4 linked regions of the Drosophila melanogaster genome follow. The gene in region 4 interacts genetically with the main gene of each other region. Each region holds a gene or a part of one and is shown on either strand. Other genes may lie near its edges. The genes, in order: Sxl, E(spl)m7-HLH, hry and sc.

Region 1 (6,388 bases), 6.7 Mb from region 4:
TCGGACTTTGAGCCATGTTCTCGACACGCGAGATAAGCGGCCGGCAATCAGAGAACTGGTTTCAATTGCGGATCGGGTCAAAATCGCCCAACCTTGGGCCATTGTATGCAAGTTGTCTGTGCGAAACTCAATGAGCATAAATTAGTCTCAATGCAGGAATGCCTCAAGTGTCCGGCCGCTCGTCCATTTCCATTGTCCAACCATTATTGCAGCTGGCCAAGCGCTGGCTTATCACTCGAGGCGAGGCCCAAAAGGCGAAGATAGAGACGAATGATAATCAATTGGCCATAAAACGGGTGAAGTGTGGATGGTGTTTGGGTTAGCCGGGTTAGTCGTCGTCTGTCTAATCGAGTGGCAATCAATCAATTTGGCAAATCGGACAACCAATTCACAATCTAATCCACAGTCTATCCACGATGAGCAACAGCGAAGGAAGCGGCCACGAAAGTGGAATCCGTACACTGAATCGCAATGCGAATGGAAACGGCAATGGAGACCTCAGTCTGATGCAGGATCTGCAGCATAAGTACGCCTTCCTCGAGAATCTCTTCAGCAAGTTCTGGAAGTCTATCATCAAGTCGAATTCCAATCTCAAACTGCAGTTGCGCAATGTCAAGTGGAAGAATGCCAAGGCGAAGCCCGGCTGTGCCTACCAGCCAACGGAGGTGAGTTCTATACATTGTATGTGTACAGTACACCTGACGCCTAAACCACATTTACTCTATCCAAAAAAAAACAGATCGAGCAGGTGGCCAATGTGATTACTCACGGCATTTGGATACTGCCCGCCGTTTTTGCGGCCATCAAGCTGTTTGAACGCTCCTCCAGCGCCAGCCAGTATCTGGTTGCTTGGGTCTACGGCGGAGCCCTGTGCATGCTCTTCACGGTGTCCACCTTCTTCCACTGCTCCTGCTATTGCGCCGAGCACAAGTGAGTGCGCACACAGGCTGATTTAACCATTTGATTTGTACATTTTTGTATACCTCCACTAGACCACCGAAGAATGTCAAGGCCTGGCCCTGTCTCGGCTGGCAGACGTATCAGGGGCTCAAGAACGTGCTCCATCGCTGCGACAGGGCGATGATCTATGTGTTCATCGCCGGATCGTACTTCCCCTGGCTCACGCTAGAGAACACCGATCATTCGGCCATACTCTTCTGCATGGAATGGGTCATCTGGCTGATGGCGGGCATAGGAATTGCCTACCAGCAGGTGGGTTCATTTACAGCACCCGTGTTCACATGCTCCTTAAGGTGAAATTTCCTTTTGTTTGGCGAAAACAGGTCTTCCACGAGCGCTACAAGTGTCTGGAGACGTTCTTCTATCTGGTGATGGGCCTGGGACCCGCTCTAGTCGTTGTGTTCACTGGCCACCACTTCCACGGTATGATGCAGCTCAAGTTCGGCGGCGGCTTCTACATTCTGGGCATTGTATTCTTCAAGGCGGACGGCACGATACCCATGGCCCATGCCATTTGGCATCTGTTTGTGGTGCTGGCCGCCGGATGTCACTATTACGCCATCCTGGTGAATCTATATCCAAGCGAGGGAGCCGCAGCACCGTGAACAAACGAGCGCCACAAAGCAGTTGTGGTAACATGCAGCGAATTTAGAACTTAGAGTACTTAACGACAGGGATTCGATGTTGTCAGCCATGTGTAACGTATTCCTATGATATACCCGATGTACCCGAGTCTCTGCTCCACAATTAGCCAAATTTTAAGCGAGCGAGGACGCCTAGCTTGTAGTCTAGTTGTAGCATTACGAACTAACTAAATCGAAACGATTCTTGTGATCAGTATGTGCGGTCTTGCCAAAGATTCAAATTGTGCGAGTGCTCATCTCTCCCTCTCCCTCTCAACTTTAACTTGATATTATTAGCGATATTCATATATTTAGTATCCATAACGACCCGTTTTGGCCATGTGTTTCTCAAAAGACTTTGAACCGTACTCAAAAGGCAAAGGACACGAATATTAAACTTGTACAAATATCCGAGAGTTAACGACCTGAACCTTTTGAACACTAGAAGCCCGCCTATCCCGCATTGCATTATGCATGTTTATACAGATTATACAGATATATTATATACCCATATATACCCATATACACAAGTAGATAGAATTAAGAGGCCATCCGATCCGCGAGTCCAGCCCCTTCGGCCAGTTTCATCGCCGAGCTCAGGGACAAATCGATGTGTTCGCAGATACTGAAGAAGGTGACTATTTACAAATACGCTTGATATCTTGATATTTTCGGGGCCTGGCTCGCGATCGGCGGATATAGCTTTCGTGTACTACTCGTATTTATGGTGCAGATCGATTAGTTTTAATGGCTCTAATAAATTGTATATTTCCAAATGAAAGCAAAGGGCTCAGATGTTTGTTGCGTGCTCAAATATAATTGTTCGTTTTACAATGTTATGCATGTATCTTGTTTAGCTTATTCATACATCTTGTTTAGCTTTAAATATATGAATATACATATATTCTTTTTTTGGTTGCAAATATATATATATTATTTTATTGAAAATTTTTTTTTGTTTGTGTAGAATTCTAAATATTTAAATGAACGAAATCTAACGGGGCTCAAAAGACATAAAATTGTATCTAATTTTAATTCGTTATTTTCTTTTCTTTAAATGAAAATTTCAAGCTTGATTTGAATTCCCATATTTGAATTTTATGTGACCGTTACGAATCAAGCGAAGGTGTGAAACTTGGCTAAATGGGTTCGTGTATTCGCTAAATGGAGTGAGTCTTAACTAACGCGGTGTAGAAAATGAACAGTGTGACCAGCCGAGTGCCTAGAAAAATAACGAAAACGCGTTTAGCCACCGTAAAGCCACCCAAATAGCTTAAATTGACCGACAACCGCGAAACGTGCACACTGCTTTGTTGTTGCCGAAGAAGGAAAGTCGCGCAGTGAATTTTTTTCTGGTAATTTTTCTTTGCTCCTCCTGACACTCGCCACGTAAATCAAACACACGATCCAAGTGAATAAGTTAAAACGTTTTAAAAATCATGACAAAGAAGCTGTTTTGTGTGCCCCATGCAATCCGTGTAGCTACAGAATAAGTGTGTGAGAAGAAATAAATCCCCATCGAAAAAACAATACACACACAGACACTGCAGCATGTACATATATATGCATATAGATATATATATATACATACATGCACAGGGTTTCTAGCGTGACGTGAAGTGTATATAACGAAGCGAAATTAAAAGAACACGCAAAAAGAGAAAAGTGGAGAGGAAACGATAGTGGAAAACACGCAGACATTGTGAAAATGCGCATAGATCATATCGCAATTGTAGTAGTACAATTACAAAAAAACCAAGCATTTTTGGAGTTTTTCTTTTCTTTTTTCAAGTTATACATGTTATTTTTTTTGCTGTTGGCCTCAAATACATACATATGTACATCTGAATAGAGCGAGTAAAGAGCAGTATACAGATACTCGCTGTTTTTTGTTTCTTATTTTTTGCTGTATACGGTTTTTTGTGAAGTTATTGAGCTGAAAGAAGAGTGCAAAAGCGATTGACGAGCCGAAAACATGTTGTAAAATTCCATTCAGCATTTCCCACCACTACCAACAACAGCAAAGCAAAAGCAAAGCCGTTTTTGCTCGCTCTCCCACTCCTTCTCTCTCTCTCTCCCGTCCACTCGTTGTTACTTCATGTACTAATTTTTTTTTCTGTGCTTGCGGCTTCGTCATTCGCATGTATATACATATGTGTGTGTTGCGCCTACGTGAGAGAGCGTGCGAGTGTGTATATGCCCGCAAACGCATAAACACACGCGCACACACTTGCAAGGCGATTCACGCGCCTGGCTTACACTTTGTTTTTTCTTTTTTTTTTCGTTTCCGTTACAGTTGTGTAGTACATAGCAACATGCAAGCATCGCCCAAAAATCATATGCACATACACATAAACAGTAAGTTGTACATAAAAACAGCAGCGTGTGTGTGAGTGCTTAATTCTTTTTTTCCATTTTAGTCTCTAACTAAATAATAATAACTAAGCCGCTGGGTAAGTGGTTTTGTTCGTATACAAACAGCTTTTTGGGGCAAAGAAACAACAAGAGAAACCCAAGGGCAGTAAGAACATATAACGAAAGGTAGGCGAAAAAGACAACAACACACATGCATACAGTCGCGTCCAGTTGTGAAGGGCCGAAAATTCTGGAATAGATTTCGCTTTACCTGAGTGTTTATCGCGTGTCCCTTTTTCACTTCCTTTAGTTCCGCTGCAAATCGACTACCTACATTTACGCATATCCTGTATACATATTACTTCCTGTTTCACCAACTATGCCACCATGTGTTTCTTGCTGCGCATAAATTGGAGTATTTTGTGATTGCTTTTAATAAGTAGATATGTACCTATTTTTTGGTGGTCGACTGTGGCGACCGCCCTACGTCGACGGCATTGCCAGCTGTTATCATCGAAGGCAACGTGTTTTGGCGTACACTTCACTTACACATGTGTCCCTGGTTAAGATATGACATATTTTGGAGTTTCCCAGAGCTTCTGCAATTAAAATAATTGTAATTTCTTCGTTGAGTGTTTATATAGCTTTAGTTGGCGAAACATTATTTTAAAGATCCTCATTAGCGACACGCGCCTTTCGGTTTATGGCCCTCCCTTTTCCATTGAAGATCAGGGATCCTGGATATTTCCAGGCAGGTAGTGAGCGCAAGGGAAGATGTTCGCTTCGCCCTCCGTTGTTGTCTCTATCGTACGCTCAGCTGCCGTATTTTTTGTTTTTCAAGTTGCAGCTGGCTGGTGGGAGAGGAGTGGAGTGGTGAGGAGAGGGCAGCTGCATTTATTTCCTTTTCTCTTCATCTCCGCTTCTCGGTGGGTCATTCCCCTTCTTGCTGTTGGCAATGACGTCGCATCGCAACGATCGTTCCCTTCGCTTAAAGCGTATTGGAAATATTGGAAATGGCGGTAGCTAGTACTACCCCCACCTCCACCAACACTCTTAATTCACATTTCTGCATTCCATTGAGGTCATTCCCTTGCGCAAATTGCACGTTACACAATTCCCATGAGCGTTGCACCCCGTTTTAAACCTTATTTGGTCTTCAGTTAATAAAAGCTTCCCAACAGTGGTCTCTAGATAATGCAACTACTTAGCGTCGTTATTTAAGAGTATATTTTGTAGCGTTGAATGTTCTTATTTCGATGTTTTTATGGCAGATAATACTGAGTTAAATGAAGTTGAATACGTCCTTGAAAGTATATATGTTTCGGTTCCGCAATGTCAAGTGTTCACTGTACTTTTTAAGCTCGCTCAATGTTTTAAAAAGCATACATGCATACATATGTACATACATGCGCATTTGGATACACTTGAAATAACAACAGTATAATAACAATCCAAGCGGACGATCAGCTGGAATGTTCGATGGATCGTTGATTGTGTCTGGCAATGCCGCTGTGATTTTGTTTCCAGACCGAGATCCATTCATGCATGCGGGTACATGACTCATTTTCCCAGCTGAGCGATTGTTAGATGCACAGATGTGTACATGCATCTTCTATATGTATATATGTATACATTAGCTCATGTACTTAAATGGGCTTTTATCAGCTGTTTAGAACACACATTCACTCAAGCACTGCATAATAGTGCTGCTCTATTTACACAACTGTGCTCCAAATTAGCAGACTACTGTTATCAAACTGTAAAGTTTTTCTCGCATTTTGTTATTGCTTTACAATTCGCTGGCGCTTTCTCCATCTCTTTCCCTCGTACACTGCCGAAAAATGTCTGCTAAATGGTGTCAATGAAATCAATGAAAGCCTGCATTGTTTTTTTTTTATTATTGTTATGTAATATTTTTTTCTGTTGTGTATCATTGCAATATTATTTGCTGCTTTGAATTATTAAACAGCTAAAAAAGTCATATATATTAACATTTTATCGTAATATTTAGAAATAATTTTGAACTATTTGTTTTCAATTTTTTAATATGATACATTGGATATATTATTACCACGCATTGTGATATGCATTTTCCCCAAAAGTTTTGTCCGTGATGGACTTTCTTTTATTTTGGTTTTTGATTTCATGGTGATTTAGCTTTCACCCATCTGCATATGGAAAGTCTATGGGTCTTTGGTACTCTATTACTTATGTTTGAATTTTCTTTCATTTCTGGGCTCTCCCATTTTCGGAATGACCGACCTTCTGGTTACCCTTTTGTATTTTCCCCCCACCTTTTTGCTTTTTCCGTATTCACAGCTTGTGACGCTTTTCGTTTCTCTATTTCCGCATTTTCCGTTTTCACGCTGGAAAGCGAGGTACACACTCTGTTTTATATATTTCTGTACATATTTTCATTTTCCTTCCCCTGGGCTTCTTTCTTTTTTTTC
Region 2 (5,006 bases), on a different chromosome or scaffold from region 4:
GCTCCGACCTCCGAACTGCGAACTCTGAGATCTCCTCTTTCCGTTCCCACAGTGCCCCGTCGACGAGTGTTTATTGGACACAATTAGTGGATGTGGCATATTGGCTTCGTGCCGGGTCGCCTTGGTTGTTCGATCGTTCCATCGTTTGGGCTGTCTGATCTCGGGTTTTTGGGTGGTTGGCAGGGGGACGTGGGTCAAACGGGCGCAGAAAGTGTGCCCCGCGTGCCACACTCGTGGCCGAGGTTGAGTACTCAATGCCCAGGCTGAGGTGAGGTGGGCCTTGTGCCGGAATGTCTACCTATGGGATGCACATAGTTAACTTCCTGCAACCCCCTAATTGGTAATTAGTAATTTTTCACCGGTTAATTGATGTGCACTTTTCAAATATCTTGTCTTATGGTAAATGTGGTTTGTTCAATGTGTGGCTCATCCTAATAAGATTGTTAAAGTAATCATAGGATACAAAAGTTTTCTTTGAATTTAGTTAATAGGAACTTATAATGTCTGGCGTATCTTTCTAAACCCATTTTTAATTAGCTAATATTAAGTGCTTTTGGTTTCGGAATCTTGGGTTTCGCATGCAAGTATGGTGTATTAGAATTCCATTGAGTAAATTTCACTTTCGAGTTAACTTTTATAAACTCTGTTTCTATTAGGAAACTAATCGACCTCTGACATCGATGCCTACCTATGGGATTTGTGTCCCTCCCTTGCAACCGCCTAGGGTATGCTACTTCCTCACTTAATAATTGAGATGGATTTGTATATCTCCCTTACAAATCTTGAGGGTTCTTAATATTGACATTTTATGGGTGGAAAACAACGTCATTGATTATTGTAATGGGGAGGGATACTCTCACTTCTTATAGTATTTTGGGTGTCAGAGGTTAATAATGTGGTATGAATTTGGAATTGAATACACTTACCTATGATTTTACGTAATGCTATTGCAACCCTCAATATGTGATGTAATTTAATTGATTAATTGTAAAAGAATAAATTTTAAGGGATTAAATATAATAGGGTATAATGTGTGATAAGTAATCGAGACGCGTGCTGAAACTCATTTGTATGTTTCTTGACCATTCTTATTGACCTTTTATTGGTGGAAAAATTATAATGCCGCATTTAAGGTTTATAACAATGTATTGTATTGTGCTAAAGGATGTCAAATACTTTCATTTCATAGTCTGTTGACAAAATAGTTACTGAAATAGAATATAAGTAAACACATCGTGCAAATGAAAAATAACGACCATTAAAAATATGAAATTAAATTCCTTTTTATTATTAAATGCATGCTTGACAACTAAGTGCACATTAGTGGAGCATGTTTTGCTATTATGTTTAACTGTTATTGAAACTTGTTATTAATATAGCTCGTTTAGGATAATGATGGGCTTTAAGATAATGAACATAATTTATGGGAAGTCCATTTTTTTACACGTGTCCTAAATAAGCTAGTGCACACGATCGTTTTATTATATTGGACCTTAAAGTTCGCGCATACCAACATTAAATATTTTCAATGGAATCTTCTTCCTATTGGAATTTAAAGACAAATACTGAAGTTCAATATCCCCTATTGGATTGTGCTGTAAAATAGATTCCCCAAATAATAAGATTCTTGTATAATTTCATTTCATATTTTGATTTGTATTTAAGTTTTTCATTTTGTATCTTTTCATATTGTGTTCTTGAGATCTCTTAGCTGGTAAACATTTGTATATATGTAGAGTAAAAAACAGACTTCTGCTCGATTGATTTAAGACAAAAGTTAATAAAGCGTGCCCTATCACAGACTTAACTTAGAAACCTAAAACTTGGTAACGTAACAAATAAATGAGGATCATTGTAAAGCATTTTTTCTAAAGCTGCGGTTCCAATTGCGTGATTGCCCGTCGGGAATTCAGTCCTTCCAAGTAGATCTTTGTTTACCAGGGACGCCACACCTGTCCGGGGCTGCTGATCTGGAGCAGAGACTCGTTGTCGCTGGCATATCCACTGGAAACGGGACTGATGGAGGAGCAGGAGCTGGCACTGGAGTAGGTGCTGGAGCTAGAGCTGGATCCACAGACGATACTGAGTGGAGTGTTGACGGCTTGCGGTTGTTCCATGGGCTGCTCCAGTTGGTTGAGACGCATGCCCAGATGGGTCATCAGTGTGGTTCCAAAAGCCACATCCACTCGGGGAAGGGAGGCCAGGGCGCGGGACACTTCGTTGGCTGCCCGGATGTATCCAGCACGGAAACTCTGTTCGGGATTGGCCGGAACATGCTTCTTAGACTCTTTCAGCTTGCGGAGATGCTGCACGGTGACTTCCAGGATGTCGGCCTTCTCGAATTTGGCATCGCCAGTCTGAGCAACGCACTCGGCCATCAGATCCTTGAGCTCGTCCAGGCACTTGTTGATCCTGGCACGACGCTTCCGCTCCAGCAAGGGCTTCATCACCTTGCGGTACTGATAGGTTTTCGACATCTCGTATTTGGTGGCCATTGTGTGTTTGTTTTGTTTATTTGTTGCGTTTAGGTAAATGGAAGAACGACTTGTTGAAGAACTTCTTCGATCTTTCGGAGGAGGTTATCCTGAGATGTTGACTGCACGACGATTGCGTTCGAAATGTTGCATTCGTCTCCGGTTACCGCTGCTTTTATAGCTGCACGTGCCGCCGCGAGAGCGTCTCGTGCTCAGCGCACGCTGCTCGGAGAAAGAGAGAAGAGAGAGCTGCGGAGCCTCCGAAGAACCACCACCTGCGGAGCAAACTACTTTTACTCAGTCACTGGGACACGATCCTCTCGCCTGCATTTTCGGTGGTGGGTTTTTCTCCACAAACAAGTTTGGAACACACCTGCGGTAAAAATAGTATGAGAAATGTGTTTAAAGCAGCTATAGTTCTTCGAGCGAATATACAAATTTGTTGTTATATACCTAAGAAGTACGTTACGTTTTTAACAATTACTTCAAATGGGTTTCCCTTAAAGCACTTAAATGTCGTTTTATTAAACAAAAAGAAATTAACATAATGTTATACGTTTACACCTAAAAAATTAAATTAGCACACTTCTTAATAGTAGTGATTTTGAAAATATAAACATTATCTAGAACTTTAAATATGTTCTCAGTACTATTGCTATGGCCACTGGTGTTCGGTGTAAGTGAGTCTCGGCAGGGGATGAAGATGCGATAGTGCAGTGGTGGTGGTGCGACGGTGGTTGCACATGCTGCTTCTCTGTTTTCCTTTCCACTGACATTCGAATCGTGGGAAACACTTTGCCCTCAAGTTTCCCACAAGATTTTTCTCGCTCGTTGGTGTTATAAGTTATAATCGGAGGTAGCCCGTGTGCGAGTCCCGAGTCCGAGCTCCGAGTTCCGAGCCCTTATGCACATGGCACAGTGGGCCAAACCGATGAAACACATGCGGGAATTTTGAGGGTGCCTTGCTTGAATGAATTCTTCAAGGCTTTTCCAACTACGTGAAATTTAAGGTTTACGGAATTTACGCATACTGTTATCTACTTGCTAGACAAAGTTTTAGCAATTTCTGTAGGGATCGTGGGAATGCGAGTTTTGGGATGTCGGAAATGGGGTTTTCCAAGGCGAAGATGTGTGCAATTTTGGGACTCGCAGGTTTGGAAATCAGTATCTTACGGATTTTTTGTTGCCTGTTCTCAACTTGCTACGGTTAATTTGAGAACCTCTATTCAAAGTCGTGGGAATGTGAGTTTTCGAATGTGATTTTTGGGGTTTTACCAAACGGAACATGCGTGCAATTTTACGACTTGCAGGTTTTAGAGTAAGTGTTTATGGATTTCTCGATGTGTTTCTACTTGTAAAGAATTTTTACTAAACTATCTGCTATGTTGGAAAGGTACATTTGTTCCTAGAGGTTTTTCTAGGCATATATAGTCCGAGTATAGGGACTTTTGTGAAAGGTGTTTTCTACTTGCTACGGATAATTTTGTTAGCTGCGACGGTGAGTGGGAACCTGAGTCTTGAAAAACATTAAGGTTCGTGAAGGTTGCAGTTTACAGAATATCTATGTATGGGATTACTGTACCCAGATGGGTGAAATAAAGAAATATTTGGAAAAGATGTTCTTGTCAGGTTATGATGTTTAAAAAATTTCTAAAAAAAGAAACCATTTTGTAGTTTGTAGCTAAAAGCATCTAAAGATTGTGACAAGACCCTAAATTGTTTTCAACCAATTTTCGTTCCATTCGAACCACTGTAAATCTGACCGAGCTGCTAGTGCGAGTCACGGGTAGTGCTGAAAAAACTACCACCTGCCCTTTATTTTATTTAATTTTTTCTTGTCCATCGTGGGCCCTACACATATCGCCCTCTCCCTCGCTCCTGCTCTTGTCAATTATGAATGCTGAATTGTAGCTTCTGTTGAACACTTGGGCCCTGGGTTTCGTTTCGGATGGCATCGGTTGGGATCGTCCATCGCTAAGTGGCATACATATACGCGTATGGTATTCCTGCTCACGTCGGGACATCATCATCGTGGGACCCAGGTCCCAGAAAAAGGGATGATTGTTCGATGGATCGACGAGGGACATGCAAACTAAATGACTGTACGGCAAATTGACACACACTAAAGATTAAATGTATCGCATTCGTTAACTATATAAACAATATACGTGGCCGGTTTGAGGAACGCTGGCTGCGGCAGGAAGTGTGTGTGTGCAGTGCACTGCGTGCTGAGAGTGTGCTGAACAACGGGCCGTTACAATTTTTCTGGCGACTGTGAGAAAATTTCTCGAGCTGCACATGGCCAGCTCCGGGCTTTTGTTGTTGTTTTTTCCACTTTTTATTAAGTAGGGGCAACCATTTGGGCACGCATCGGGGTTGGCTTATTGTCAATGCATCGCTATAATCGCTGCTGCTGCTGGGCAACCGACGTTGCTGGCCGTGTAATTGAATATGTGTGCGCATGCTTGGCACGCCAAACGCGCGACAGACGCGGGCAGCTAAAAACAAAAGCCAAAGGGCCCCAACAGAAGC
Region 3 (7,541 bases), on a different chromosome or scaffold from region 4:
TTTCTTTGTAAATTAGCAGACATGCTGGCAAAATTTTCGATGCTATTTCGAGCTAGACGAGCCACGATGAGTAATCCTCATTGATGGGCCGAAAGTCGGTCGTCCCCCATAGTGACTAATCAAGTGCACTTTCGGTTCAGTGGGGCAAAAGCCTGGTCATGCAACCACCCAACCACCAAACCACCCAATCGGACTTTTCTCGAAGCGTATTTCCAGTGTATTGCTTAGATTCCAGAACATGCGACATCTGAACGACTGTGTGCAATCTTTACTTAGCTTTTACGAGAATTTTCCCCTGGACTTTGAGGCTGCACGAGTTAGTTTTGTGAATAGTTAGCGAGTGAATACTGATCCAGTCATACGGCGAACGAGACTAGGCCCAGATACAGACGCACTGCAGCAAGGGAGTGGCAGGCACGCCGTGATGAGCAAGTGAATGTGGCTCTCTGCACTTGATTCACCAGCAAATGGAAAACAATTTTATTCACTTATCCGCTTTATCGCACTCATATTATCAGCATGATGCGGTATTTTTTCCGCAGACTTCGCGGAAACTTTTGTCACGAGCATGACGATTAATGGCCCAGGGATTTGCTTAGATTAGAGTGGGGGCACTATGAGAATTGAAGGGCGTGACTCGGTTGCTACTGGGTAAGAGATTTCCCTAATGGTTGATAAACTTGTATATATCACTGGATTCGAGTGGTTAGTTCCAGGGAATTTCCAAATGTATCCGTAGCTATCGGTCATCCATGATCCATGGCGATATCCGATTTAGTTCCAACTAACGCGAACCGGATCGACTTTCCTGCGGCTATAGTGGCCAACTTCTTGACATTCCATATCCCTAAGAAATTCGGTATTTTGCTGAATCGTTAGCTAATGGAATTTCGGATTTATTGCAATCAGAGCTAACCTGCCTTGATTTTAAAATATACCCTTGTGCGCCTTAACTTTTGCTGATCACTTCGATTGGAATAACCAATGATTAAATTGCAAAATATTTTAAAATATTATCGATCAAAGGATTATAATAAGTATTTATTTCGTCACAACTGTTTCGAATTACTGGCCTATCGAACGGATGTGTGAAAATCAAGGCATTCCTATATAATGTTTATGATGCACATATATCTATATCCGTTACGGTCTGGCCACAGAAAAACCTTCAACTCGTCGTGCCGATTATATTAGCAGAAACGGACATAATCGAGCCCCTTAAAACGTAGTTGTATTATCGTCGAAATCCCCGCCGATCCTCTCCAGCAAAATGAATTTCACCATTGGCATTATAATAATTAGCGTCGAAATTTGCTACGATAAGTCGGGGGGCTCGATAAGTTTCCTGTCACTCAAAGCGTTTGACCTCTAAAACAAAAAAAAGAACCATAATGGGACTTTCACCCGAATGAAAAAAAAACCCAGGAAAAGATACCCCAACCACAATAACAAATCCGTTTTGCGTATTTGATTTTTTAGTAGAATCTTTTAAATTTATTTCTTTTTAGTGTGTTGTTTGTTTGTTTTTTCTTTCTTGTTGATTTTTTTGCTTTTGCTTGCATCAAATTCTTGTTTTGTTTTCTTAGAAGCTCATTATGTTCACTATATCACGTGGCCTTACGAATAGATTTGTGTGTTTTATAAATATAATTATTCTTTGATTAGACTTAAGAGCGAGAGAAACCCTAAGCGGCTTAGCTGGCTATGGTACAAAACCTATACTTAAATGGAGATGTACGACTATGTGTAAGAGTTATGCTTTTGCGTTTATCTTTTTCATAAAAAGTATTTCAGCTTTTCAGGTGCTTATTTTCGCATTTTCATTTTCTGTGTTTGGAAGACTTTTGCTGATTTGCTGTTATTCAAAGAGTAATACATGATACATGAGGCAATTCAACACCAAGTACTTGGACTGAGGTAGTTTGGCGATGTCCTGGTAGAATACCGTTCTCTCAAATCGATTACATAATATAATAATAAATAAATTATAACAACGTTTGCGTGTGTGTGTTTGTGTGTGGGTGCGTCTGATGAAGGTCCTTAGCCTCGTCGACGGGTTTCCAGGATATAAGCCAGGAAACTAAGCCAACGAAGTTGTGAACCGAGTTTAGGATTCGCATGTTTGCAACACTTCAAAGCAACATTTGCGCAATCCCGGCGAATGATGTGAAATGTCTACGCGCATGCGCACAACGCCTGCGCATGTGTGCGAGTTGGATGAGTTGTGGGGGGTCAGTCTTAAAAGCGGGAGATTCGATAGGGGTGGCTATGCTATATGATATGCATATGCAGACACCCTCTACCAGGGCCGCCAGGGCTGCTCCTCCTCCTTGATCTGCTTCTTGATCACCAGCGACAGGGGCTGCTGCTCCATTGGCACGCGCTGGATGACCGATGGCTTGATGTCCATGGGCTCGTAGCTAGAGTTGGCCGGACTGGGCGGGGCGTAGCTACAGCTGCTGCTGCTTCCGGGCGCCGACTCGTATCCGGCGGAGGAGTGCGAGCTGGCGGATCCGGTGCTGGCTGTACGCTGGGGCATGCTGACCAACATGGGTTGCTGTTGTGCTGCTGCTGCGGCCGCTGCTGCTGCTGCGACGGCGAGTTGCTGCTGCTGCTGTTGGTGCTGCAGCAACTGTTGCTGCTGCTGCTGGGGCAGGCTCTGGGGCAACACGAGGGCAATGCTACCGTTGGGCAGCTTGGTGGGGATCACCTGCATGCCATTGGGCAGAAAGTAACCGCTGGCCGTCTGCTGGATACCAAAGAGGTAGGGTGCCGCTGCTCCCTGCTGGCTATCCTGCTCCGGCGAGCTGGGCGGCGAGGGCAGCATCTGGGCGTGGATGGACTGCTGTTGCTGCTGGCGCTGCTGCTGGTGCAGCTCTGTCTTAACGCCATTGATGCAGTTGCTCAGGTGCTGTAGCAGGCGACGACGCTGGGCGGGCTCGATGCCGGGAAAGCGGCTAACCTCGTTCACACAGTCGGCGAATCCGGCCTTGAATTTGTTCACAATCTTGGGATCGGCGGCCTGCTGCATGGCTGCCTGCTGGCGCTGCAGCTCCTGCAGATGCTTTACTGTCTTCTCCAGAATGTCGGCCTTTTCCAATTTGGAGTGGCGAGCCGGCTAAAAGTAGAGAGAGAAAATAATTTGGAAATTAGTCAATGATTTAAACTTTTAAAAAATATTTGAGATAATTTCAAATATGTAGTTTTTTTTATTTTATTTGTGGCTTTAAACTTATATTTTTGTCAGATACTTACGTCTTTTTTGGTGGCATCCAGAATCAGAGTCTTGAGTTCATTGAGACAGTTGTTAATACGGGCACGTCGGCGTTTCTCCATGATGGGCTTGTTCGACTGCAAGAGGCAAGAAATGGAAAAAAAAAACATCGATTAGTCACGGCTTTTGCACGGCTAATTTGACCTCATGCAACGACCCAAAAATAGAGGAAGCTGCATGGGTCTTCAATTGGATTGGAGGAGATCAAGGAGGAGGCGGCGTAGGTTGGGGAGCGGATTGACTGGCTGGCGGCCAAATTTAGTCGCACGGCGCGTGCTCTATTTATAGCGCCACTCGGCCGAGGCATTTATTTAAAAATAGTTTGGCGGTTATAAATTACAGGCAGTGGCTATAAATAAACCAACCAGGTATGAGCAAAAATAAAGAGAATGTGACAAGGTCAGAGCGGGAAATTCGAAGATGCCATAACTAGGTACATTATTATCTAGGGAGCACAAGTTGCCAAATTTGGACTCGCATGAAGTCAGTTTTTTTTTTTCTGGCCAACTCATTGAACCGGTGCCGTTCGAATGGCCAAAAACGGCGGCTGATGACCGACAATTGCAGCCACCACGCGACGCACGCGCCAAGTGGCAGCCAAATCCGAATCCGAGTCCGAATCTGGGGAGCTGGTGGGCAGCTACGCCAGCCAATTTTGGGCGGCACTCATGAATGGATGGAGCGTGTGTGTAGTCGGAGTAGTATGCCATATGCCATATAGTAAATGCCACCAACGCGACGCGAGATAAATTCGCTTTGTGTTGGCGCGCCGACGGCAGTTGCGGCCTTTTTTTGGTCTGGCTCAGAGTGTTTTTCTTTTTTCGTATTTTTATTCCCAGCCAGCCATGTGGGAGATGGCTAAAAAGGAAATGCATTTGGGCAGCGGGATTGATGGGGCCAGTCGCCCACAGTCGCGAATGGAAATCAACTTGAGCTCGAAGTGGGTGGCTCTCAATTAGGGGAATTCTCGGTTTGGTTCGCTTCAGTTAATCCACAGATTTCGGGGAACTAGAGGTTCTGATTTAATCCATTGACGGGGTTTTTTGTTTTTGGCTTTGGATTTTTTTTTTCGAGTCTTATTTTTCTCGAAAGAAACTTACCCGACGGTCACTTTTGAGCGGCGTCTCCTTGAGCTGGGCCGGCACAACGGCGGTGCCCAGAACGTTGGTCATGTTGGCTGCTGTTACGCCGGTAACCATTTCGGTCAGATATTGTTTGTTGAGTTTGAGGCACAGTTTGGTTTTCACTTGGCAGCAAATCTGAATTTGCTGCTCTTTGCAATATAAGTTCACTGCTTTTTTGCTTTTTTTAGAATAACTCAAGTTGTCAGTTTTTTTTTTTTTCAAGTTCACTTGGTGGTTTCACTTTCGCGCAGCGTCGCAGAGAAGCACGTAAAATGGTATTGTGTCTGGGGGGGTTCTCTAGATTTCGATTCGGTTTATCAAAGCGGAGCGATAGAACCGCACGCTACGAAATACGGCAGGCGAATGAGCAGCAGGTTCTGGCTGCAGTGCGATTAAAAGACCGAAACGACTCGGCACGAAGCAGAAGATCGATCGTTCGGCTTTCGGATGGTTGCGCTATATATATGTATGTATATATATATATAAGTATTTGCTTTACTGCGTCTGGATGTTGCGGAGCGTAGCGGGACTACCTTATCGCTGGGCTCTCGGCGGAAGACTGACGATTGATCGACAGGTTCGTAGGCTAAATCGCCGCTGCGAGACGCGAGCGCGAGCCACACGACCGCACCAATACAATTGCACTGGCATTGCGGCTACCTAGGGGTATACATTATGCGCTACCTGCTCGCTTCAGTGTGTGTGTGTGTGTGTGCGTGCTCACGCTTGTGAGCGGTACCTAAAGTACACACCGCGTTACTCATACGCCCCCGTGGCTCGCGGGAATGGGCATTTCTTCCTTTTTGGAAATCACACTGCGAAACCCCCATTGGTGATCGTCGGTCGGTCGGTCGATCAGCGATCGGTTTGGCTTGACTCTGCTGGGCTCTGCTAACTGAGGGATTCACAAGAGGCTGTGTTTCTGGCTGTGCTGTTGGTGATGGTCGCGGTGGTGTTGGTGTTGTTGCTGCTTCTGCGGTGGTTTCTGGTGGCTCGCCGTTCGTGGTTTGCTGATTCATGCGGCCAACGCGACGACGTCCCATAGAAGGTGAAAATAGCTGGCTATATGACGCCACCCCAGTGCGACAGGTTCGGTTTTTTGTGCTGTGTACTGTGTATCTGCGGCTCGGGGGTCGCTAAACAGTAAACAAGATCACAAGGTTGTGCGCACGCTAGGCGGAAGTGGGTGGTTGGGTGGTTGGGTGGTTGGGCGATCGGGCAGTGGGTGGTGGCTATAGTTATCCCCCTAGCATTTTCCAGACCAGTCTGTACAACCGACTCATTCAGCATGCCGTACGCCTCAATTAAGTGAAGGTCGCCCTTTTGGCTTTTGATCGATAGCCGCCAACGGGCTAAATGAAATGGAAATCGCTGTGGACAAGGCTGCGTGGATCACACGTGCTCCGCCGGACGCTTAGATTCAGCTTGATGGCTTCTACGTGCAGCGTTGGATTTTCACGTTTTTCATATATTATTTGTTGTTTTGTTTTGGAGTAATGATTTATCGAAGGTTGACTATAATTACGCGACACGCGGAATAGTCGGGCATCAGAAAACTAACCATTCATTAGCAGAATGAGAAGAGGGGCATTGCAGTGAAAACTGGGAATATTACAGTGAAAATGAAGCTTAAATTATATTGTTTATTTGGTAGTAAAAAGCCAAAGTGCGTCACACACATTTCGTTACAACCGAAAGTGATATTTTAAATAACTGCTTAAGCCATCTATTATTTACAAAATATGGGTTAAGTTTTAAGAAATGGTAATAACCATGTAATTAGTTTAACCAGGCTGAGCTCAGTAAAGGTAGATGACACATATTTAGGTTACACGATCTATAAAAGGAAATTACGTTATCTTTGACGTTTGTTCTTGGGAAATATTTTTAAAGCCTGACTTGGACTCTGACCACTGATTAGTGAAGTTATACCAAAACCACGAATCGTCAACAAAGTTACATTGGAATGAGTCAGTCAGGCTTTAAACATTCAAGTTGGCTAAAAACGGGTGTTTACAATATTTTTTTTATAGCGAAACCACCTGGCAGTGTTTTTATAGAAACTAATAAAGTTGACTCTAATGAAGATGAGTAAAAAAACGTTTAGAAGTTAATTTGATTTTACTACACTTAATTTCTGCTTAATAATTAAATGAAATTGAACTTAATCAACAATCACGTCTTACAAATATGCATATCTATCGATTCGTGAAAATACTCAAAAAGTTTGGGGAATTTCTGACATTTTTGACGGTTGTCTAAAGTGTTGTGCGTTTTGTGGTCGCCAGAGAAGGTTGTTATGCCGAGAACACATGCCCCAACAATATGGATACATATATATATAGACGGTAGTGGCGGACGTCGACAACACCTTCGCGTTCCAATTACAATTTGGCAGCCGATCAAAAGGCGGCCCGCCCGCGGTCAGCGTCGGCAGAGGCGTTGTCGGCGGCAGAGGCGGCACTTGTGCATGCCAATTTAATTGCAACGAAAAGCAAAAAAGAAAATAAACAAAAAAGAAAAAAAAACGAGAGGTCGGAAAACGTTGGCGGCGTTTTACATCATGCTAGCTGGCCAAAAACAGCCAAAGGTGTGGATGTATCTCACGGATACAACGCTAAAGATACAGTCACAGATACAGATACACTCGCAGTTGTTTGTGCGTTGAACGCCCAATTTGACGCCCCATTGTTGTTGTTGGCGGACCCGATCACATGCAGCTTCTAAAATAAACTGTGGCAAAAATTTATAGTCGAAAAGGCGCAAGCACACAAAAATGTGCGCATTGCTAATTGCGTCTAAAATTAGACAGCGCCAGATCCCCCAGATTCCCCATAAGCCCCGGGAGCCCTGATCACTGAAAACAAAACAAACACGTTGGTGGTACGATAAAGAACCCCTTGAAGGTATTTCGAATCATTTTGGACCATGTTGGTTAACTATTTAATAATCGTAAAGGCGTTGATAATAACATTATAGCATATGTATAATATTATAGGTATTATTATTTGCTTGTATTTTATAAGATCAATGAATTCAATTTGTGTGCCATTATCATTCAAAATGGTTATTCACTAGACTCAAAATACCATATAGTTTTGACTATTAAGTTTAAAATATACAGAAAATCTTATCTTAGATAC
Region 4 (5,453 bases):
CAGTAAAACGCAAAAATTAAACCACGAGCGTCACTTAGATTTATATTAAAACTTTTGATAATAAAAATGGTCAAAAACATTTACTTAAAATATAAATATTTAAATAACAGAAATTTCACTATATACTCTTGTAATGCACTTATAATAATTTTATATACAACCTATTAAATAATATTTTTACGTGTAGAAATGAACGCGACAACAGAAATATCTATATGCAAGTATACATATACTTGTATCCCTCACTCTTTTTCACTTTTTCTTTTTTCGCCGATCTCCTGCTCTCTTCTGCAGGTCCTGGCTACGAAAACTCGTTTAAATTAAGATTCAACATTCATTTTTGCATTTCAAGTTTCGTTGGAAAAACGCACGCGTCGCTCCACCGATTAGGATATATATATATATATATATATATACCCATATATACCCATATAATGGGTAGGTTATATATCCTGCCTCGTTCCATCCTGCTCCTACCCAATTATCGCAAGGGCCCCGCTCTTCATCTCGCTTACACTTTTGAGTCCTTTCCATTTCCCGTTTTCGCGGTCCGGAACTATGCTTCATATCAAAGTAATTACGCATTTAAATCCTCCAAGCGTTGCGTCTGGAAAAAGGATATAAACAAGGTAGTCCGAAAAAAATGTTTACTGGTTGTCGGGACAACATCGAAAGGTTACTTAACTTGCTTTCTGATGGTTTTCCTGAAGAACAAGTCTTTCGAAATAATAAAAAAAACATTATTAAGTTTCCGAAAATATATAAAAGACTTCCACAAAGATAGAGTTAAATTAACAATATTATATACTAAAGGAAATGAAGCATTTATGAAATATAAAATTTAAATCATTCAAAATTAAAAGATTCCTACACTAGGTACTATAATTTTGAAGGTAATATCCAATGCTTGTTCAAGGTATGAGTGGCATTTACATGCAAGCGGTGACCGGAATTGGACCTATGATTAATCAATTGTACCGAACACGCGATTATACCAACCTTGCTTATGACTCTCCGCTTCAAGGAAAAAAGGATCGCGTATATGCATTATATGCATTCCACTTCAGTTAAATGTCCGCATACACCATAGATCACACAGTTCACTGAGTGGAGTTTCTAATGACGACTTCAACCCTATTCTAGGCATGTCACCGGCATTTCTCCCAACCATTTATTAAAATGCTTCAATGGAATTTTGGAAAATGCGAAAATTTAAATAGAACATTGTGCTGCCAAAATTTCTGCAACACTCAAGAACAATGATAGTGTTAATGATGGTAAAATAATGGAAACCAACTACCGATCCCTCCGTTACAATGCAAAAACTAAAGAGTGGAGACTCCAAGCGAAGTTCAGCATGCAAAAAAGGTATTGGAAATGGTGAAAGGATTTTATTTATAGGAACAACACAGAGAAGCGCCGTTTGCTGGTCATGGTTGAAAAGGTTTTTTTGTTATCAGGATTTCGGTTTTCGCTTTGGTTTTGGTTTCGGATTCGGTTTTTGATTTTGGGATCCGGGGATCTAAAATTTGCCAAATAGAAGTGAAGAAGTGCTATTGCTGATGATTTGGCAAAAGAAAAATGCTGGCAGAAGCAAACGAGGGTAACGAGTTGAGGACAATAAAAATATTACACCTGGTCGCCGATTTGGCATCTTTTCACTCGCTCATCGATTGATGATCGTGACAAAATGAACCGATTTTTGTGAACAGAGCGGAAGTTACAATTTACAGTCGCCGTTTAGCACGACACAGTGGCCAATGGCAAGTTACAACAGTCTGAAATAATCAATTTATTATTTCAAAGAAGATGTATGAAACTTCATGTATGTCTAGTATTTCTTTACCTTAGACCGCATTATGTAATAGAACAAATAACAAGTATACACCGTTAAAAGTCAAATGTGTGAACATTTAATCAAACCCAGAACTAAATTATTCCCAAACAAATTAATATATTTAAAGCAACATCCCAGTAGTTCTAGAAAAAACACAAGTAGCCACAAACAAAGAACCGCAGTTTTCACTGCAAACTTCCTTCTAGAACTTGTGTCACATCCCTTTGATTTACTTAACAAAAAATTGTGATCCTTTTGATAATTTAATTGGAGAAATAAGTGAAATTGTTTGAACACCTTTAGGGAGCGTACTCCGAATGTCTAATAAGGAGGATCCCAGGATCTTCTGTCGATCCCTTGGATCCGTCCGGCGCTAATGAATAGAAGCGTGCGTGAGCTGCACATAAAATTGGCGATCGCGACTTTTGCTAAGTTAATTAACACAGAAATCAAATTGCTGGCGTGCCGTAGCAAAAAGAGCCCTCACTCAGATACCTTGATCGTTTTTCGATATTTCGAGTTGATATTTTGAGTTTAAAATTTGAGTGTTTCTTTTGGACTGTCGAGTGAGAACAGTTTTCCTGTGGGATACTCGAGTACCTGAGACAGAGAAAGAGAGAGAGACTACCTGTGGCTCACTCACTTCGAGTTCCCTACCTGTGCAGGTAGCTCTTGCCGTCACTCTCTCTCTCTCTTTCTCTCCGATTCTCTCGCCCGTTTCTCTGCCTGAGTGTTGTGCAGAGAGTTGCATAAAGGGTACATAACGCGAGGGTTTAGGACGAAGGGACTCATTCTTGTGTAAGGTGTCAAACGATCAAGTTCAAGTATTGTACTCTGTTCATTTATTTTTTTCTGTTGATCGTTATCCGGAAAGTTAAAGAAAGCTCCGAGTGTGTTAATGAAAAATAATAATAATACAACGAAAAGCACTACCATGTCATCGAGTGTGCTGTCCACCAACGAAACGTTTCCAACGACCATCAATTCGGCAACGAAGATCTTTCGTTATCAGCACATAATGCCAGCCCCTAGTCCATTAATTCCCGGTGGCAATCAAAATCAACCCGCTGGCACAATGCCAATTAAGACTCGCAAGTATACACCAAGGGGTATGGCACTGACCAGATGCTCTGAATCAGTATCATCTCTATCGCCTGGTTCCTCGCCGGCTCCATATAATGTAGACCAATCCCAGTCGGTCCAAAGGCGCAATGCTAGAGAACGAAATCGTGTAAAGCAGGTGAACAACAGCTTCGCCAGGTTGCGGCAACATATACCACAATCCATAATCACGGATTTGACAAAGGGTGGTGGTCGAGGACCTCACAAAAAGATCTCCAAAGTAGACACACTGCGCATTGCCGTCGAGTACATCCGGAGGCTTCAGGATCTGGTGGATGACCTAAATGGGGGCAGCAATATTGGTGCCAACAATGCAGTCACCCAGCTTCAACTTTGTTTGGATGAGTCCAGCAGTCACAGTTCGAGCAGCAGTACTTGCAGTTCCTCAGGGCATAATACCTACTATCAAAACACGATCTCTGTCAGTCCTCTGCAACAACAGCAGCAGCTACAGAGGCAGCAGTTCAATCACCAACCGCTGACAGCGCTCTCATTAAATACCAACTTGGTGGGCACATCCGTACCAGGTGGAGATGCAGGATGCGTATCCACCAGCAAAAACCAGCAAACCTGCCACTCGCCAACATCATCATTCAACTCCAGCATGTCCTTTGATTCAGGCACCTACGAAGGAGTTCCCCAACAAATATCCACCCACCTGGATCGTCTGGATCATCTGGACAACGAATTACACACGCACTCCCAACTTCAGCTAAAATTTGAACCGTACGAACATTTTCAATTAGACGAGGAGGACTGCACCCCCGACGACGAGGAGATTTTGGACTACATCTCTCTATGGCAGGAGCAGTGACTTAATCCCCAAAATTTACCACCACGCCCTATTTTCTTCTAGTCAATGTTGAGTTGAACCAAGTGCCTCAAATTGTAAATAACACTAATACAAAAACAACATACCCCCAATTTTTTTTTCTTACTTTAAGCTATTTTTTTACATTGTTAAGAACCACGAGACCAGTTTCAAATTTATATATTTATGAAATAACTATAGCATGGAAACGAAAACATATTTTTTTGCTAATACAATTTTATGTTAATTAGTTTTTGGTGGAAAAATAAAATGAAAAAATTAAACGAAAAATCATATTTAAGTTCTTTTCTCAAAGGGGATCCATCTATTGATCAGGTTTGTAAAACATTCGGGTACTACTTGCATTGCCTTGCAGTGCCGATGGGACCATGTGCAGCCGTTATGTACAATTAAGGTTGCTTTGCATTGGTTTTACAAAATCACTCTTATATCCAAAAATCATTAATACGAATTACAGATAACGCAAAACATAGATCAGTATTTGGTTTTAGACCAGTAGTTTCCTATTTCTTCAGGTAGTTTCTAAGAATGTCAAATTATCGCAGGTAAGACGATGACACCTGTGACACGTGCCACGAGGTTACTAGTTTAAAAGGTTACTAGTTTTACAATTACGACTTTGAAATTCAGATCAGATATTGAACTTAAAAAAGGAAAAGTGTCGAAAAAGCAATTTACAATTTATTCAATATAAGAGGAGTTCGTATTTATGTATACATTACTACTTAAATATATAAAGTGAGGTAGTTTTAACCCGATCAACACTTTTAAGACTTTTTCTTTTGAATTTGCTCAGCTTAACTATAGTTCCTAGTATTCCCTATAATGTACGGCCTTACAAAAAAGTATTTTACCCACTTTTTACACTTCTGAAAAAGTTAAATGCAAACACCTTACCCCAAACAATAACTAAGTTCTTCACTCCCACGCACCGTTGAGATGTCAGTCCGTTGGAATAAACCTCTTCCACTGGCCAGACAATAAATCACGTTGCATTAGAAAAACAAACGCATGGGAGAATGCGACTATAGACTATATTTTGACACATTAAAGGGCATCACAGACAAAGGACCTCATTGTCCTTAGGATCGCTGGATGCTCCAAAGGAAGTGATAAGGGATAGGGGATCTTTTCTTTCAATGTCAACGCTGACACTTGACAACTCAATGCAATTGTTTCGAATCATGAAAATGGGTTCTGGAATACCATTATTTTCTTTTGCGAGACTCTGTAGGCAAGGCTTAACGTTCAGCTCCGGAAGAACTTTCACCTTTCCTAAAGAATCTAAAGAAAGGCAACCTTTTTTTCAGCTGCGTTTTTTATTTTATTTGGTTCTGATTTAAAAGCGTAGTTTAATAGATTTCTCGGCGCCCAGGCCAGCAACATTGTGGTACAAAAAACCAGCCGCCTGCATTAATCAGACCCCAGATATTTGACCAAATTATAGGCTCGCCCAAAGTTTCGAGGACTAAGGACGGCAGATTGATGGCTAAAAAAGCAGTTTTAAGTCGCAGCTAAGCTCATAATTCAGCTCTTTACGAAGTTGTTACTTGAAGCATTTATTCTTACACCGCAGGCGCGATGCAAACGGCCTGATAGCCAACAGAAAAAACGAAGAATGGCAAACAAGAAAACTCCAAAATAAAAAATACAAAGATGGAT

The links.
Region 1: of sc (region 4) and Sxl, changing one suppresses a phenotype caused by changing the other (phenotypic suppression), as found in Drosophila melanogaster (2 studies listed by BioGRID).
Region 2: of sc (region 4) and E(spl)m7-HLH, changing one suppresses a phenotype caused by changing the other (phenotypic suppression), as found in Drosophila melanogaster (one study listed by BioGRID).
Region 3: of sc (region 4) and hry, changing one suppresses a phenotype caused by changing the other (phenotypic suppression), as found in Drosophila melanogaster (2 studies listed by BioGRID).

Annotation. Positions count from the first base shown.
Region 1 is NC_004354.4:7,094,551-7,100,938, reverse strand, and holds the start of Sxl (Sex lethal), read left to right. Parts: upstream 1-2,885; 5' UTR 2,886-2,938; exon of another isoform or gene 2,939-2,994; intron 2,995-3,170; exon of another isoform or gene 3,171-3,315; intron 3,316-3,872; exon of another isoform or gene 3,873-3,941; intron 3,942-4,003; exon of another isoform or gene 4,004-4,124; intron 4,125-6,388. Other genes in the region: CG4615 (uncharacterized protein), read left to right, coding at 417-665, 740-930, 993-1,212, 1,284-1,565. UniProt on the Drosophila melanogaster protein: Sex determination switch protein, which controls sexual development and dosage compensation in females. Sxl protein is only active in females: it is inactive in males throughout development.
Region 2 is NT_033777.3:26,034,652-26,039,657, reverse strand, and holds E(spl)m7-HLH (enhancer of split m7, helix-loop-helix), read right to left. Parts: upstream 2,621-5,006; 5' UTR 2,496-2,620; coding exon 1,935-2,495; 3' UTR 1,639-1,934; downstream 1-1,638. UniProt on the Drosophila melanogaster protein: Participates in the control of cell fate choice by uncommitted neuroectodermal cells in the embryo. Transcriptional repressor. Binds DNA on N-box motifs: 5'-CACNAG-3'.
Region 3 is NT_037436.4:8,673,182-8,680,722, reverse strand, and holds hry (hairy), read right to left. Parts: upstream 4,965-7,541; 5' UTR 4,474-4,964; coding exon 4,375-4,473; intron 3,352-4,374; coding exon 3,256-3,351; intron 3,119-3,255; coding exon 2,300-3,118; 3' UTR 1,470-2,299; downstream 1-1,469. UniProt on the Drosophila melanogaster protein: Pair-rule protein that regulates embryonic segmentation and adult bristle patterning. Transcriptional repressor of genes that require a bHLH protein for their transcription (e.g. ftz).
Region 4 is NC_004354.4:393,442-398,894, forward strand, and holds sc (scute), read left to right. Parts: upstream 1-2,618; 5' UTR 2,619-2,735; coding exon 2,736-3,773; 3' UTR 3,774-4,056; downstream 4,057-5,453. UniProt on the Drosophila melanogaster protein: AS-C proteins are involved in the determination of the neuronal precursors in the peripheral nervous system and the central nervous system. Also involved in sex determination and dosage compensation.